Saccharomyces cerevisiae S288C: one gene and its partners. The gene in region 1 interacts genetically with each later gene. Each region holds a gene or a part of one and is shown on either strand. Other genes may lie near its edges.

Region 1 (5,479 bases):
TAGATTATATGACCTATATCCTAGAAGGAAGGAAACAACATCGGATAAACATTCGGAAAGAACTTTTGTTTCTGAGACTGCAGATGATATAGAGAAAAATCAGTTTTATCAGTTGCCCACACCTACGAGTTCAAAAAATACTAGGATAGGACCGTTTGCTGATGCAAGTTACAAAGAGGGAGAAGTTGAACCCGTCGACATGTACACTCCCGATACGGCAGCTGATGAGGAAGCCAGAAAGTTCTGGACTGAAGATAATAATAATTTATGATCAAAATTTACGGCTTTGAAAAAGTAATTTCGTGACCTTCGGTATAAGGTTACTACTAGATTCAGGTGCTCATCAGATGCACCACATTCTCTATAAAAAAAAATGGTATCTTTCTTATTTGATAATATTTAAACTCCTTTACATAATAAACATCTCGTAAGTAGTGGTAGAAACCACCTTTGCTTTTACGAGTTCAAGCTTTTTTCTTGCCATGATCTAGAACTCTCAGGCAATATATACAGTTAATCTTTTTTTACTGGGTTGTAGTTCTAATGTATTGTTTCGAAAAATAGCAACCAGGCACATATTATGTTCACCAAGTGGTGTATCCAGTACAGATTTCTTATTCCATAAATGAAACTGAAAACGGTTAAGTACACAAATAAAATGATGGTAACTTTACCATCCCACGTGTCTAAAGGTACGCTGTTTGGCATTTTGAAAATAGAATTATTTCCAACCAAAAAAATAATTGGTGCCACTGCTAGTATATTGTGATGGGATCTAAATGAAGTTTCCCATTTGATGGCAACATTATGCAGGAAAACAATAATGATAGGGATGTTAATGGCACTAACAAATAATAAAAGCAGAAGCAACGTCATATTATAATTTAGTAAGTTCAATTTCTGCTCGTTGTTTGATAGTTTCAACAGCGCTACTCTAATGCAGGTAGCAATTTGGATTACTAATGAGATAACAAACGCCATCTGGTATGGTATGTGAAAAAATACCAACAGTAATAAAAGCACAGATGCCATTAATCTTCCCTTACCATACGCTTTATGTTCAATAGTATCAAAAGCCTCTTTATCTTCAGTGTTTTTCTTTGATAACTTCCGTTGAAGGAATATTACTAAAATTTCCAAGGATCCAAAAATCTTAGAAACTAGTGCTAGTAATCCAACTGTCATAACCCCAAAGAGAATTCCAATAGTTGACATAAACCAATCTCTGATCCCCAAATAATAAAAATTTGCATGCATGTTTCTCTCGGATAGCAGAAATGGATAATTTAAACCGACAGGATCCAATAAATAAAGTATTCGTTGTACCAACTTATTATTAACCACAGGCGAAGCTAAGAACAGCGTAAAAAACATTAATATTCCGTGCTTTCTTAAAATATATCCCAAAGTGCTATCAAAGGAAGGAAACTCAGATGTCTTGTTGTACCAGTAGAACTGGTATGACAGTACGAGTGCTATAAACGCGACTGGAAAAGATGCTAGTGCTAATCTGTACCTGATAAACAGCATTTTCAAAGTTAAAGACCAATTAATAGTCATTTTAGCTTCTAAGGACATTCCGGGTGGAATAAAAAAACTTAATTGTAGCGATCTCGGTTCGCTTTCATTTAATGGGATAAACGGTGCTACATTATGCATATTTATATCGAGACTTTTGTTTATAATATTTAGATGCCATTTAGACTCGAAAGGTTCGTAAACCCATTGCCTTATGAAAGGCTGAAACAATGTCTCTTCGGAAGCAATACCTTCGTTGCTTGCCTCAATCTTGGTTTCTAATTTGTACGATAATAAAGAATCCCACAAATTACTGAAACTTATAACCTGCTCGATGTCTTTGCCATCCAAGTGTAGTTGTTCTCCAAAGAGCAATATTTGAGAAGGTGTAGTATTGACTATTTGTACATTGGAGACGTTGCGCAGTAATGCCAAAAGAAACCCCTGATTGTCCTCCATGCCTTCTTGTTCTGAAAATTCACCGTAAGTGGGTTTGCTTATCATCAAGTAGTCGTACTTCTGTAGTATATTCTTGCCAACACTAACGGCTTTAAACGGATTTTTTGCTTCTCCAAAAGAAGAATCAGCTGCGAACTGAGTATCTTTTGAAGACCTGGGCACTGTTAGAATACTATCAACAGCTGTTATACAGCTTAGATTCACCCTGGACTCTGTACAGAAATAGATCATAGGCATATCGAGACTAGTTAATAATGTGAAATGCAGGTGTTCAGTGGAGGAGATGTTACTCGGAATATTTATTTTTGTATAATTGTTGTGCCACTTTTCCAGGTTAAACATTTCAAAATCTAGGACATCGTTCATTTCCAAAGTAGCGTAATCAGAAAAGAAGTTGTCACTAAATTCTTGTAAGTTTTCTTGAGGATAATTTAACTTACTATTCATCCATGAGTAGTCTTCAAACCCTGAAAGCAATAGTTTTCTAGCGATTTGCAATCTCTGATTCAATGGCTTAACTTTTTCAGGTTTGGAGGCATCTATACTTTCCAATAAAAGGCGCGCTAGTACCTCTCTTAATTGCTTGCACCAAACAATGGCTAAATGATCAATTGGAGTCCAAACATCTGGAATAGTAGTTGTGAAGCTGGTGAACCCATTTTCTAAGCTAACCAAATCTTCTACAGATGCATAATCTGCAGGTAAAGTAGTATCCAATATACCGCCTGTAATGGAAACCAATGAAATGTTCTTAGAGAAAAAAGAATCGTTTTGGGATAACTGCTTTCTCCAATATTCGTTTGTATTTTTGTAAAGCTTTAAAATGTCACCATCAAAGGTTACTGGTGAAGCAGCATGAGGTGATGATAAGGTCAATATGGTGCTTATACTTCCCGGTACGTGGTTCTTCAAAGTTAGCATGACCCTGGATACAATACCGCCCATGGAATGTCCCACGATAATAACTGACTGCGGTTTTGGATGTGGGTAATCAGGGGTCCTTTCGTAAAGAGACAAGATGTACTTAATGGCATCATTTAGGTATTCAGCTTGATCAAGCATTGTTTCACCATGAAACGCAGTGAAATCTTCATTGAAATCTGCCGTAAAGAAGTCCAAATTTCGCACATTTTCGTTACGCAGAGTCGCCCTGGTATTGGAATCAAAATATATATTGGAGCAAGCGGAAGCAATCGATCTGCATTGCCTAAAAGAACCTGCATTTCCGGGTATAAAAAGTACAGGGATACCATCAAGTTGTAACTCATCACCATTTAAAGGTTCTCGGTCTACGCTTTGTTCTCGATACAAGTAAAGATGATACTTGTGTGCCAGTGGTGTATACCTCTCGTCAAATCCATCGATCCTTGCGTAAGATGGAAACATATAGATAGATTCACACTGAGGAGCATCTGCACCATTAAAAGGTTTCAGTAGCGATATCAATAAAAGCGAGCAAATGCTTAAAATGCCAAGAATAGAGAAAAGGCGATATGTGTAAGGTTTTTTTGCTATCTTATCATTGTTCATATATTTGGGGGAAGCTTTATCCTGGTCTTCACGCGTAGCGAGTACTCTCGAGTATTGACCAGATGAGTTAACTTTATTAATTATGGGCCGCGTTATAACACTAACTAATCTCCTGATACCCATAACGAAATGAAGATTTTTGTATGATGGTAAGCCTAAGATATAGGCCAATGCTTTAAAGTAGAGGGAGTATTTCGAGTGTGAATTTACTATCAGATGGAACTGCAAGGAATGTGTTGAGACTCATTTTTACTTTTTCTTGTTATGACTTGGTTGGTATATTTAGACCTTTTTCAAAATTCGCGCCATACAGGAAAAAAAAATGGATAATAAGAAGAAATGCATTTATTTGAGGGTACCTAGTGAGTTATGCAATTGTCTATATAAGAGTATGAATCTAACTTAAATACATCAAGCATTTGGGATGAAATCATGCGAAAAATCAAAAGGTCACAACCGTGTGAAATGGAAATTAAAAAAAACGTTAAAAATATGTAGTCTTGTGAAGGTGATAATATTACAGCCGGATGATACTTGCTATTTTTCTTTTGAAATTTATTGTAGTTATCTTTTTTTGTTTTTTGTTTTTTTTCATTATTATTGCGTTATCGGTGTTCATTTCGGTGATTTGAATCTTCAGTAATGTTGCCTCGACTTTCGTAGTAAACTTTGAATGTCAGGTTTGTTAAATGCCAATGCGTAGAAAGATGTTCGAGAGGTACAAAGTTGTGCTGCTCATGATGAATTTTTCTGGGTTATAGAAGAGTTCTGTTTCGCTTCTGAATTGATTAACGAATCATTTAATTTTTTTAGGGAGTTCGAAGAATTTGAATTATTGTTCTGTGATTTCTGCTTTTGTTGTTGTGCTTGCTGCTGTTGCTGCTGCTGCTGTTGTTGTTGCTGTTGTAAATGTTGTATATGCTTTTGTTTCAGTCTGGTGATATAGTCCCTACGATACTTTATGGTGGCTTCCCTTAATTGTTCGTAGGACTTCGTACCCAACATTGTTCCGAATCTAATCACCTGAGTATCATTTGAAATCTGGTTAAGTCTTGCCGGTTCATCTGAAAACTTGATCCCATATTCATTTTGTGGAGAATCATACTTCCACTTGTCGTAAAGTCTGACAAATTCGTCGTATTTGGAATCGTAAACATTAATCGAGTCAGTATCGTTACTACCTTCTCTTGAATATTGTTCTTTTTCGATTGAATCGAAATCTACAAAATCCATTAAAGAACATGCAGACTTGGTCGACGATGTTGTAAAATTTGGCATACGATCAACATACTTAATATTAGATCTACCAACTCTCTTCCTGAATTTTATTGGATACTCTCTCGAATGAATTTCCAAATTTTCTTGGAATGGGTCGTACAGTTCAGTTTTTTTGATTCTTTTGGTATCCAAGTTGTAATTATCTTTGTTTCTCGAACGGCCATTTGAATCATATATTCTGATGTCATCAGATATCCCCTTCAAGTATTCTGGTAAATGTGAAGAATAAAAAGATCTATCTATCTGAAACTTGGATGACGCGATAGATGCAAAGGGAACATTACTAGTCGAAAAATTTTTAGGCAACGACATGTCAAATACAGGATTAAAGGGATCGTCCGTTAAGTTGAAAAAGACATCTGCGTCTTCAATTTTCCGTTTCTCCATCTTTTCCTGAACGAACTTTCTTGCATTTTTTTCTTTGCTGTTCAATAGAGCATCCACGTCTTCCAATACAATGTCAGGAATTTTGGAAGATGGTAGTTTGACATAAACATGAGACGTAATTGGCTGTGATGTTGAAGAAGAGGATGCATTCGCGAGTTGCTTTCCGTTTTCAGTCTTAAGGGCATTTTGCTGTTGTTGTTGTTGTTGCTGTAACAGTTGCTGCTGTTGCTGCTTGGTGAGCCTAGAAGATTTGTCTTCAAGTTGGTTATTCCTTTTATTGTTCTTTGCCTTCGCTGCCGCTGCTGCA
Region 2 (4,368 bases), on another chromosome or scaffold:
TTGAAAGAAAGCATGGAGGAAGCCAATCTAGAAAAGAGTGTTATTGAGGATAACATTAAAGCAACTGGTTCAGTTTCCTACCTTTACTTTACGGGTGATATTTCTGTAACGAAGTTCAATAAGGAATCAGATTTTATCGTAGGGGAAGTACAATATGTATACGATCTAAAACTCAGCGAAGACATCATTCCAAAACCAAACGATGGTGAAGTCGAGAGTTTCAATTTATTCAGCCTGCAAGAGACGATTAATGCTTTAAGAAAAAAAGAGTTCAAACCAAATTGTGCATTGGTAATGGTAGATTTCTTGATTAGACATGGCTACATCACTCCAGAAAATGAGCCCAATTATCTTGAACTAGTAACTAGAATGCACAGAAGGTTACCATTCCCCACCTTGAATTAACATTCAAGAGGTTACCGGTTGATATCTAAACAAATATAAAGAATTTTTTTCATATATACACATCTAGGTACATACTATCTAAGATCAAAAGTACTCTATTTTGTCACTAAACGGAGGAAGGCGTTCAGTTCGTTTGTGGTTAGTGAACAGAAAAAGTTACTTGGAGAAATTTAATTCTATGTCAAACCACTCTCTAGAAACAACTTCCGATGGTGACAAGCTGACATCTCCATACACTAGTGGTGAAAAGTATACAAAAAACCACGCAACAGCACAGGAGACACACACCAAGAAGACGGTATAGGGTTTAACGTAGACCTTAGGGTTCCGTTCATATGATGCACCTGAAATATCCTCGTCTTTCTCCAAATCCAATGATTTGCAATCACTGAAAATTACTTCCCATAGTGCTCCTGAGAATAAGCACGCGATTAAATGAGCTGGTAAGTAATGATGCAAAAACTTTTGACGCGCCATTAAAAAGAATGGAAAATAATGACAGCACCAGGAGACGAAGAAAAACATCAATGGGCCATACAGCTTTTCTCTGGTCATCTTGTTTAGGGCATAATAGCCACGATGTCTAGTAATTAAATCGGCCACGATAATGCCAACAAAAACAGCCAATGATATGACTTGGAACCACCACCCAATGATGTTACCAATGAAATATATTTGCTTCTTTTCGTCACCGTTGGTCCAGAACGAAACACCACTTAAACTACCGGGCCAACTGTAAGGTTCAGAGGCAAATGGATGCTCTGATGATAGTTTATTGTTATGTTCGAACATAGATTTTTGAGTTTCAATCCATTTCTTCAAGAATGGTAATGGCTTAACAACCTTCGGAATATATACCTTCCGAACCTCGTCCAGGTTAACAATTTCATCAACAACCCAGTTATTTGAAGGATCAATAACTTTTTTGTTACCATTAATTTCTTGTTGTTGGAACCCCCAATCCGGTAACAACTCGTCGTTGTGAGTCCACAAAGCTACGGAGGTATCAACGTGGAAAAGACGGAAAGAAACCGTTTTACTCTTTAAAACGTGACCTTCATCTGATTTTTTCAGTGGTTGGAATGCAAAAAGTGTTTCAGGATATAATTCCCCATCACCTTCTTCTAAAGTTACTGTAGTGATTTCTTCATTGGTAGGGTAAAATGGGGAGGCGACATCATGGGCTAACAAGTAGGTATCGGTGGCTACATGTCTCAATCTTATATGCTGGTTCAATAGAACAGCTTGTCCTTTACCGACATCACTGCCATGGGGTGGTAACACTTCCCATTGATTGTTGAAGTCAGGATGCGTGTAACCAGTAACTTGTTGACCAGCGGATGAGATACGACCATCTTCATACCGTTGTGGGTAACGTGCCAAGTGAGAATGTAAGAATGCGTCAGTATCTTGATGTTTGATAGTGATAATATCAAAATAATTGACGGTTTTAGAGTCAACACTTAAGGGAGAGTCCTTAAGTGTTTCTTGAAATTCAGCAGACATAAATGCGTCGCCAGGACCTGAAGTATTCAAAACGGTGAAATGAACCCAGAACCAAAACAAGTAAATCACAAATGGAATCAAAACTAAACCATTCAGCCTTTTACTAAAATGTCTCATGAACTGCCTCAAGGACAAACCCGCCTTGATGTCCAGTAATTGCCATAAGTTGACCACAGCAGCAAAACCAATAGCGGAATATGTCATAACACCAACATATTTTGTGGAAATCACGAAGGATAAAGACAAACCAGTAGCGTGTAACCAAATATACCAACTCCATGTAAAAGGTTGACGCAATTGGCACTTGTAGAAACGAACGTAACAATACATAGTAGCAGCAATAGAAATAATCAAGATGGCATCCAGTAAAATCAGCCTAGTTTCTGTAACATGCGCAGTATCGATTGCAACCAAGAGAGATGCAAACGCACATGTAATAGCCCTGAAATTCAGTTCCTTCAAAGTGTTGAACATAATTGGTACAGTCAATGTGCCCAATATCGCGTTGAAAGAACGGTACGCGATATATGGAGCTGGATGAGTTTCATAAGAATACCCAATCTCATCAAACTTAAAGGAACCATCATAGCCACATAACCAACCAATGAAGGCAATCATCATCTTAGCAAAAGGGGGATGAACGTCAAAGAAATAAGACCTTTCTAAGTAATACGATGCAAATTTCCCGAAATGTACCTCATCAAAAACAACTTCTTTTGGATACCAGATCTTATAAAATCTAGCAGCAAACGCTAATAAGGTAACAATTGTTACCCAAAAGCTATAACGTGATTCCGGTTCCGGTAGTGGCTGCAAGAGCCAATGTTCAGCAACTTGTTCACATTTAGGCGCGGCCTTCGTGTACTTCAACGAAGGATCGTCTACGTCCTTAGTGGAAGGTGGTAACTTCCCATGGTTACGTTTTTTGGGCACAGACATCTGTACTTCTGTGGACTGTCAGAAAATATCTTGGTAAAATATGTATCGACAAACTTCTTAGTACAGTTAATATAGAAGTAAGGATTCGAGTGAGTAGTTTTGATAAAGCGCGTTTCATTATGCATATTTTTCATTTTTTATTTTTTTTGTCAAGAAATACACGAATAACATCACGAAATTTATCGACAGAATAATGGAAGAAACTATTTAAAAAGACGGTAGAGACTAAAAAAGGAAAGAAAGGACAAGTAGGAAGATCAGCGTACGATGAAAAGCATTTTCAAGGTTAGAGGATGTGTATCGCATGCTGCTCAATTTTGCCAAAAAAGAACCGTGGTGAGTACCGGCACTAGTAACACCGCAACAGCCGGTGCAGTGAGGAAAAGTTTCAACAGTACCGAAACCAAGCCTGTATTTGCAACAAAATCGGAAGCTGGCAATGGAAGCCACATGAAGGAATATTCAAGCGGCATTAACTCTAAACTCGGCGGGACCCCTTTGGAAACCCGCAGCACCGCCGATGATTCTTTGAACAATAGTTATAAGCAAGTCAAGGGAGACATTGACTGGTATACTTCATGGTATGGCCTAGGTATGAAGCCCTTTGAAGCAAAAGTGCAAAAGGATCTAATCGAGCCTCTGGACCCTAAGGATATAGAAATCAAGCCAGATGGTTTGATATACTTGCCTGAAATTAAATACCGTAGAATACTGAACAAAGCTTTTGGCGCAGGCGGTTGGGGGCTAGTGCCAAGATCACAAACAATAGTGACATCCAAGCTGGTCACTAGGGAGTACGGTCTTATTTGCCATGGTCAATTGATCAGTGTGGCAAGAGGCGAACAAGACTATTTCAACGAAGCCGGCATACCAACTGCTACAGAAGGTTGCAAAAGTAATGCATTAATGAGGTGTTGCAAAGATCTCGGCGTCGGTTCTGAATTATGGGACCCTGTTTTCATAAAGAAATTCAAAGTGGATCATTGTACTGAGAAGTTTGTGGAACATGTTACCACCAAGAGAAAGAAGAAAATTTGGTTAAGAAAGGACAGACAAGTTGAATATCCTTATAAATAGTCAATATGCGAACCATATAAGCTAATTTTAGTAAGTATATATATTCCAATACAATCACACACACACACACACACACACACACACACACATACGCATATATTGTGGTAGTGCGTAGTGTCAGTACGTCTTATCATACGCCTTCTATTTCAGGGTTAGCGTATTTTTACTATCAATATTACAATACGGATATATATACACACACCTAATATATATATTATACGTTATATTACTGCCAGTCGAAAAAGGAAGATACGATGTATTATTTTAAAATTCAATTTCTAATAAACATTAATGGAGATATACAAAAGAAGAAAATAATTAAGTTGTTATGAAATTTATAAACCTTGTTGAGCTCTTCTTCTGTCACGTTCTTCAGCAATAGACAACTTGATACCCTTACCCTTTGGCAAAGAAATGTAAGGCTTACCTTGTTCACCGATG
Region 3 (4,656 bases), on another chromosome or scaffold:
TTGCAAAAAACGAAGGATATCAGTTCCATTCATTTCCAGGGATTTGTGTTGATATGTGGGGCTATGAATGCGTTGAAGTTTTCAACTTCTGTGAAGGAGTTAAAACAACCACTAAACAATCTCGTTCAAAAGCTCTAATTACTTGTATATTATTTTATACGTTTATGTCTATTTCAATGCAATTACGTGAAAAATAAAAGAACGCTACCATAAAAATGTTAAAAACTGGTTAAAAATGTCAAAAAATGGTCCGAAAACTGAAAAAATATTCGTGATACAGTTTGCATAAAAAAAAACTATTGTGCGCGATTAATATAACCTACTAGACTTAAATGACGACACTTTAATATGAAGTTCAGTAGTGTGAATTAAATAAAACAGTCAGTTCTTGATGGATTGTACCCTTTAAAGAATTTATCTTTATGTCGCTGTTACTACGAAAAGCGTGTGCGAGGTATTATAACTATTTTTCTGTATTTTTTATATATTTTTATTTGCCAAGTTAAAAATCAGTCATCTCAAAAGATTCATCGATTTCAGTGTTCGGAAGGCTAGTATACTTCTTCTTTTTCTTAGTTTTCAATTTAGATCCTGCTTTGTTAGAAGTGCTACTTATGGGTGCTCCGCCTTCTAACTGCTCATCTTGTTCTAAATCATCTTCTGCCCCGAGTCCGCTTTCCAGATCATCTGCCCATGAAACTGTCTTATTGGGACTGTCATGTTGTCTATTATTTGGATCAACTAAAATTGTGTGACGCGCTTTTCTCCTCACTCTTCTATCATACGCATAAACTCCTAAAACCACTATCAAAAATGTAACGATGGTAACTACTACCGCTTTGTGTTTATACATTGAAATCTCTTCTGCAAATTCTTCTACCTCTTCCTCTTCTTGTTCATATTCTGAAGATTTATGTCTACTATCCTCGAGGCCTTGATTACTTTGTTTTTCATTATTATCGTCTTCATCATCGTCATCGTCATCATCGTCGTCGCCCTCGGAGTTGTGATCGTCTTCATCGTCGTCATCATTGTCGTTATCATCATCGCCATCTTTATCTTTATTGCCTTCTTTTTCCTTTCCTTCCTCATTCTGCGCTTCCTGTTCTTCCTCTTCGAGGTTTTCTTTTGGCTTATCACCGCTTTCAGTAGTAGCATCTTGATCACTATCGTCGTCAGTAGTAATCATAACATTTTTCCCATTGTTGTCAATGATCATAACATCGTTCGAGTAAATATCGACAATGCCTCTACTCACTAAACTTTTATCGAAGGGTACCATGTGAGAAGCATTATAAACGCTAACAAACGTCAAATTTCTATCATACTTCACGTATCCGCTAAATTCTTCGCTGTCGTCTGTACTCTTCGATTTATGGATCCAATCGAACGAAACAGCATCGTCGCTAAATCCCTTTATTCCACCCCATTTTAGATTGTCTATAGTATCTAATACGCCCTTGTTATTACAAATCAAGTCTTTGTCACCATTGAACAAGACAATCTCTATTCCACTTTCAAGTAGACCAGGTAATAAATGGATAGATGGCTTTGAAATAGGATTAGACAATTTAGTTCCAACGCTATTAGTGCATTCCTTCCAATGATCAATTTTATCAGAATCAAGATGCAACGAATCAATAACACCAGGTGTGCTGAAGAATTTACTGACAAAGGAAATATCTTTCGGCCAATTCATACCACAAGATGGATAACTATCTTTTAAATTGAAGTTATACATGTTCAAGCAATCCGCTGTTCCCTTTTGCGAAGATTCCCTGGTATAAGACAATAGAAGGTTTAAAATATTCTCACATTCCTGATACGAAAAATGGGCTGCCTCATCTGTACTGGCAGAGTTTATCAGATTCTGGCAATTCTCGTGTGCGTTCGTTAAGTGTTTGAAATTGGGGTTGCTTTCATCAATCAGTTTCTTCTCCATAGCAAACGGAAGGTACGATAGGGACTGTGTATTGGGGTCAATCCAACCGTTACCAATCAATAGCGCCTTCAAGTCGTATGTATCCCCGTCGATCTTTGAAAATTTGTTATGGTTCAAAATTGCATTGGCAAAGAATGGTATGTATTGGCCAGCGTAACTTTCACCCGATAGTATGATTTTCCTAGTGAGGTCTTCTGGAAAAATCTTGAAATAGTTCTCCAGAAAATCCATAAAATGCTTGGTCACATCTTCTAGGTCTTCGTCAAATTTGTTTTTGTCGATTTTACCTTCGTCTTTATTTTGTTCGACAGAAAACCCAGTACCAGTAGGTTGGTCGATAAATAAAAGATCGCCTTTGGATATCCAGGACCCTTCATTTAGATAAAGTTTACCGTCTGAATTCACCCTAAAAGGGCCGGATTCGACCAAGGCACCATCCATGGAAGAGCAACCGGGTCCACCATTTAACCATATAATTAAGGGACGGTCGACATTGCCATTAGAGTCGTTATTGGTAAACTTCCAAAAAAAGTACTCCAAGTCAGAGCTATCCTGTTCATCCGCATCTTCGGAACGTAAAGGAATATGGCCAGCATGCATCTGTGGAATATTTGAAGGGTCTGGCACTTCAGATAACCCTGGCAACAGCTCATATGCCACTTTGTACTCCTCAGATGACGGAAGGGATACTGAGATCCTTATTAAAGCAGACATGGCTAGCCACGTTCCGAGCCACCTATTGTAAAACATCTATTCAGGTCTTTATCTCTACGGTATTCTATAGCCAAGGTACTCTTTAACCAAAGTATGCTTCAGCAAGCTTTTTCAAATAGATGGGAGTTGAAGACAATGATAAGAAATCGCTTTTCTTAATGTTTCCTATATTATCAAAATATTCCACTTTTTTTTCTTTTTCCACATTGTTTTTCGGTTCCGGGCTGCAGTAAGCAAATATAAATGTTGGTGACAAAACTTGAAAGTTATAGCCAAAAAGCTCGCAATTCCTCACCTAACAAAATGATCCTGTTGGAATAAAAATCAACTATCGTCTATAAACTAGTAGTCACACTACCAGTATATTATCATATACGGTGTTAGACGATGACATAAGGTATGAGAAACTGTCATCGAAGTTAGAGGAAGCTGAAGTGCAAGGATTGATAATGTAATAGGATAATGAAACATATAAAACGGAATGAGGAATAATCGTAATAATATTATGTAGAAATATCGCTTCCCCTTTGAGGATTCCTCTACCCTCGAGGAGAACTTTTAGTATATTCTGTATACATAATATTGTAGCCTTGATCAACAATGAAATGCCTACAATCATCTTAAAATTCACCAATCTCTCAGCTCTTATTTAAGCTTTGTTGAGACGAGAGTTAGTTATCCGACAATACTATACAAGACATTAACATCATTTTTCGTGCTGTTAGGGTGGTGTCTTTTCATTTGTTGCAATAAATGATAAGTAGTTTACCGTCCATTAACATGTGCATTAAATAATAGCATTATGTGAACATAATGTATATTTAACTAAAACTATTATCGAAGAAATCCGAAGAACTCATCCTTGTTAGCTCAGTTGGTAGAGCGTTCGGCTTTTAAGCGCATTTGCTTAAGCAAGGATACCGAAATGTCAGGGGTTCGAGCCCCCTATGAGGAGTTCTTCTTTATTTTTTTCCCGGTTCACTATTTTTCCAAGATTAAACATGGCTCATATACACCATCCAAAAATCTCTTAATTAACCTATAACCATTGTTCTCCTTCACCTCATTCAAGAATCTGGCTTCTGAATTGCCATTGATAGAAGAACAGTACTAAATTGCGCCGGAATAATGAAGAACATCCGGGTTACCTTAGATGTCTTTTTTTCCTTTTTTTATCACATTTTTCACTCTGCACTTTTTCACTTTCTCGAGGTCCAATCTATGACTAATATTAAGCGCATTTCATTTGAAGATATGTGTATCGCAATCTTTTTTCTTATCTTGTAGACCCTCCTATACACATCTCTAGACTATATATTTGGTTTGGTTATATCTTTAAGAACTTATTTCTTTTTCTTATTTTTCCATTCCACTAAGTTAAACCCTGCAGTTGATACAGACATTGAATAGGACAACCGATCGTTACTATCATGACTTTACCTGAATCAAAAGACTTTTCTTACTTGTTTTCGGATGAAACCAATGCTCGTAAACCATCCCCATTGAAAACCTGCATCCATCTTTTCCAAGATCCTAACATTATCTTTTTGGGTGGTGGCCTGCCATTAAAAGATTATTTCCCATGGGATAATCTATCTGTAGATTCACCCAAGCCTCCTTTTCCCCAGGGTATTGGAGCTCCAATTGACGAGCAGAATTGCATAAAATACACCGTCAACAAAGATTACGCTGATAAAAGTGCCAATCCTTCCAACGATATTCCTTTGTCAAGAGCTTTGCAATACGGGTTCAGTGCTGGTCAACCTGAACTATTAAACTTCATTAGAGATCATACCAAGATTATCCACGATTTGAAGTATAAGGACTGGGACGTTTTAGCCACTGCAGGTAACACAAATGCCTGGGAATCTACTTTAAGAGTCTTTTGTAACCGAGGTGATGTCATCTTAGTTGAGGCACATTCTTTTTCCTCTTCATTGGCTTCTGCAGAGGCTCAAGGTGTCATTACCTTCCCCGTGCCAATTGACGCTGATGGTATC
Region 4 (3,646 bases), on another chromosome or scaffold:
TTTCGTTGTGACAACCTGGTTTCTTTGTAGAGTGCCGCAAAACAGGTATACCTGTCTTATCTTCCAAAAGTTTTGCTTGCGAATAGTCCTTATCAGAATTGGAACCGGCGGTATTGCTAACAATCAAGAGTGCTTTGTTAGAGTATTTCGACCTTAAGGTTTCCCAGTGTTGCAAGTAATCTGGCCATATTTTGTCATCATGAGGGAAGGCGATGCAGTTGTCCTTATCCAAGACCACGGCCTTTATAGAATCGTGGATTGGTATAGGAAGATCGTTAAAAGTGGGGACAACTAGACTAGGCTTACACAGTGATGGGTTATAAAGCAACCGGAGCGTATTTAAGGTGCCACTGATGTTCATGACTAGGTAGAGGAGACGATGTAATGTAACTGCCGCCTTTCAGTTTGGCCCCATATATATATATATATAAACAGACGGATAATTATATCATATTAAATGCGATAGCATAAATTTCTCGATGCGCATTGGTAAATTGTAGCATGGCGCGAAGTCTCTCATGGATAATTTTGCAAAGAATCGATGTATATAACGAACCATAATCAAGATACTTGCTGGGATGGCTTTTTCTGGATCTCTTGCACTTTTTTGAGCAGTTGTGGTGACGTCTGTTTCACGTTGTCCTTTTTATTAGTAATCTTCTCATCTACAATAGTTTTTTTTGTGAAAAAAAACTGAATAAGAATATACCCAACCAAAATTGTGAAAATCAGCTGTAATAAACCTCTGTTATTCTCAATTAATTGTGAATCAAATATTGAGACATACTCCGAAGGTGGCTCTGAAAATCGTGGAGTATAGTCATTAAACGACAGACGAGGCACATCCAAAACTCTATTATTTTGTTCCACTTCACCCACTCTGGATTTTATGTCAAAGATATCTGGAAATATTTGGATAGGGATGATCGACTCGTGAGCCAGCGTAGTTCCTGGGTTTAACGAGGTGTAAATGACATTTTGTTCTGGCGACGGAATCTGCGCCAGTATAGTCCTCAAATACTTGTCATAATGGCGGAATGCTTCTTTACGTTCATTAGTGTCCTCTGGTAACTTAGGGTACTCTATTATAATCACTCTTTTTTCGCTATCAATAAAGGGCTGGAAATCTTCTGTATTATTACCTCGTAAGTTCAACACCTGGTCTACGTTACAATACTCCTTTACAAACTCTGCAAGATCATAGTATAAATCTTGAGGCAATAGGTCTACCTTTTCGAACTTAATCGCGGTTGAACTCCGTCTTATATATCTCTGTAACGAAACAAACTCTGTTTCAAATTCCAAGAAGTCCAATTTCCTCAGGCCTGGTTGATTAATAAACACATAAGTGTCAGCATTACATACACCTAAGAATTTCTCAGCCGCTTCAATAAAGGTGTCTCTTGGTAAAGTCACAGCCCTATCATAATCCTCTTGATACTTTAAAATACCGGGAGTTCTATCCAAAAGTACAAATATGTGTATAACATCTAGTTAGTAAGAAAAATGAAAGTTACTAAAGATTAATGTTTCTTGTTCTACATACAGTTTGTAAGAGAAGAATATTGCAGGAACATTGGTCTGGTTTTGCAATTCCTCCGAAGCACAAAAGCTTCCACACATAATAAGCAACAAATATTTCAACACAGTTTGCATCTTGCCTTGCTACTCCTAATTAGTATGCGCCTACGTTTCCTAACTACAAAACAGATAGGTATAACCTGCAACTTAACCTCCGCTGCTGATATTCTTGGCCGTAGTTAAGAGAGGTTTACATTACTACAGAGCTAACCCGTGTTGCATGATATCATCGATATAATTAAAGAATGCACATATGTCAGCGGTACTATCGCATACAATGCTCTATCAGAACTCTAGATAACGTTAGAACATATCCTCCCAGGTTTCGCCACATCTGTGGCCTCGTTACTCTATTCGTTTCACTCTTTCTTATCTATTTACAGCCCATCGAGCAACATTATCATGCCACACGTCGATCTCAGGCCGATCTGACAATCTTTAAAGGCATCAACAAGAGCAGCAGCTTGCCGACGTGGCAAAAGTCAAAGAAGAACAGAGGCAACTCGTCCTACGTGAAGCCACATACAACAAGTTAGGAACTATTAGGCGGAACCGCTTTCTAAGGAGCTTACTACTTTTAACAGTACTACTTTTAACAGTACACAGATAAAGAAACAAAAAGTATAAATTTGGGCGCCATCGACTGGCAAGCAAAACACGTATAGAGAACAGGCAGTAATGACGACGAAGCCACAAAATAGTAAGCAGGGTTTAGCCGAAGGAGAGATGGATGTGAGTTCACTTTTCAAGAGAACGGAAGTTATTGGGCGAGGGAAATTTGGTGTGGTTTATAAGGGCTATAACGTGAAGACTGGACGAGTGTATGCTATCAAAGTCTTAAATTTAGATTCTGATTCTGACGAGGTGGAGGATGTGCAGCGAGAAATTCAGTTTTTGGCCTCCTTGAAACAGATTTCCAATATCACGCGGTATTATGGGTCGTATTTGAAAGACACAAGCCTTTGGATCATAATGGAACACTGCGCTGGTGGTTCACTGCGTTCGTTGTTAAGGCCAGGCAAAATCGATGAAAAGTACATTGGGGTTATTATGAGAGAACTGCTTGTAGCATTAAAATGCATTCATAAAGATAACGTCATTCATCGAGATATCAAAGCAGCAAACGTTCTGATCACTAACGAAGGTAATGTTAAACTATGCGATTTTGGTGTCGCTGCACAAGTAAACCAAACTTCTTTACGACGTCAAACTATGGCTGGGACCCCCTACTGGATGGCTCCAGAAGTGATCATGGAAGGCGTTTATTACGACACTAAAGTAGATATATGGTCTTTAGGTATTACAACGTACGAGATTGCCACCGGAAATCCGCCATACTGCGATGTGGAGGCCCTAAGGGCAATGCAACTAATCATCAAATCGAAACCACCGAGGCTTGAGGACAGATCATACAGTACATCTTTGAAAGAATTTATTGCGCTTTGTCTTGATGAGGATCCAAAGGAGAGATTGTCAGCAGACGATCTTTTAAAATCAAAATTTATCAGGGCCCACAAGGCGACGCCAACGTCCATTTTGAAAGAACTAATATCACGATATCTACTATTTAGGGACAAGAATAAAAACAAATATAAAATAGAGGGCAGTATACCGGAAAATGAGCCATCAAAACCCAGTGAAGCTCCAAAACCATCACAAAATGGCGGGGGTGATGAAGCACAAAAGTCAATAGCATCAAATGATAATGAAATTAAGAGAGTGAACGAAGGCGATGTGGAAATGAAATGGGATTTTGATTCATTGAGTTCGTCGGATTATATTATTGAAAATAATATCAACCTCGATGCTTTGGCTGAGGACAACAACGAGTGGGCTACTGCCCAACATGACCTGTTCAACTATGCATACCCTGACGAAGATTCTTATTACTTTGACCCTACAAGTCATAATACTAGACCCTTTGTTTATCAAGGGACAACGATAGGAAAGGGCTATCCTGGTACAATAGCTCAAAATTCTACTTTGAATGCACCAGTAACAAATAACTATACGAACTCAAAATACCCTTCCAAAATGGTAGCTGGAACTACAAACACCTCTGGAA

The links.
Region 2: mutations in BST1 (region 1) and PMT4 together harm fitness more than expected from each alone (negative genetic interaction), as found in Saccharomyces cerevisiae (3 studies listed by BioGRID).
Region 3: mutations in BST1 (region 1) and KEX1 together harm fitness more than expected from each alone (negative genetic interaction), as found in Saccharomyces cerevisiae (5 studies listed by BioGRID).
Region 4: mutations in BST1 (region 1) and BIG1 together harm fitness more than expected from each alone (negative genetic interaction), as found in Saccharomyces cerevisiae (3 studies listed by BioGRID).

The regions. Positions count from the first base shown.
Region 1 is NC_001138.5:83,605-89,083, forward strand, and holds BST1 (Bst1p), read right to left. Parts: upstream 3,631-5,479; coding exon 541-3,630; downstream 1-540. Other genes in the region: alpha-factor pheromone receptor STE2, read left to right, coding at 1-271; EPL1 (Epl1p), read right to left, coding at 4,243-5,479.
Region 2 is NC_001142.9:697,765-702,132, forward strand, and holds PMT4 (dolichyl-phosphate-mannose-protein mannosyltransferase), read right to left. Parts: upstream 2,851-4,368; coding exon 562-2,850; downstream 1-561. Other genes in the region: YJR142W (uncharacterized protein), read left to right, coding at 1-405; MGM101 (Mgm101p), read left to right, coding at 3,118-3,927; 40S ribosomal protein eS4 RPS4A, read right to left, coding at 4,263-4,368. UniProt on the Saccharomyces cerevisiae protein: Protein O-mannosyltransferase involved in O-glycosylation which is essential for cell wall rigidity. Forms a homodimeric complex to transfer mannose from Dol-P-mannose to Ser or Thr residues on proteins.
Region 3 is NC_001139.9:111,973-116,628, forward strand, and holds KEX1 (serine-type carboxypeptidase), read right to left. Parts: upstream 2,693-4,656; coding exon 503-2,692; downstream 1-502. Other genes in the region: YGL204C (uncharacterized protein), read right to left, coding at 1-33; ARO8 (bifunctional 2-aminoadipate transaminase/aromatic-amino-acid:2-oxoglutarate transaminase), read left to right, coding at 4,087-4,656.
Region 4 is NC_001140.6:314,313-317,958, forward strand, and holds BIG1 (Big1p), read right to left. Parts: upstream 1,657-3,646; coding exon 1,547-1,656; intron 1,460-1,546; coding exon 562-1,459; downstream 1-561. Other genes in the region: GEP4 (phosphatidylglycerophosphatase), read right to left, coding at 1-361; putative serine/threonine protein kinase KIC1, read left to right, coding at 2,260-3,646. UniProt on the Saccharomyces cerevisiae protein: Required for normal beta-1,6-glucan synthesis.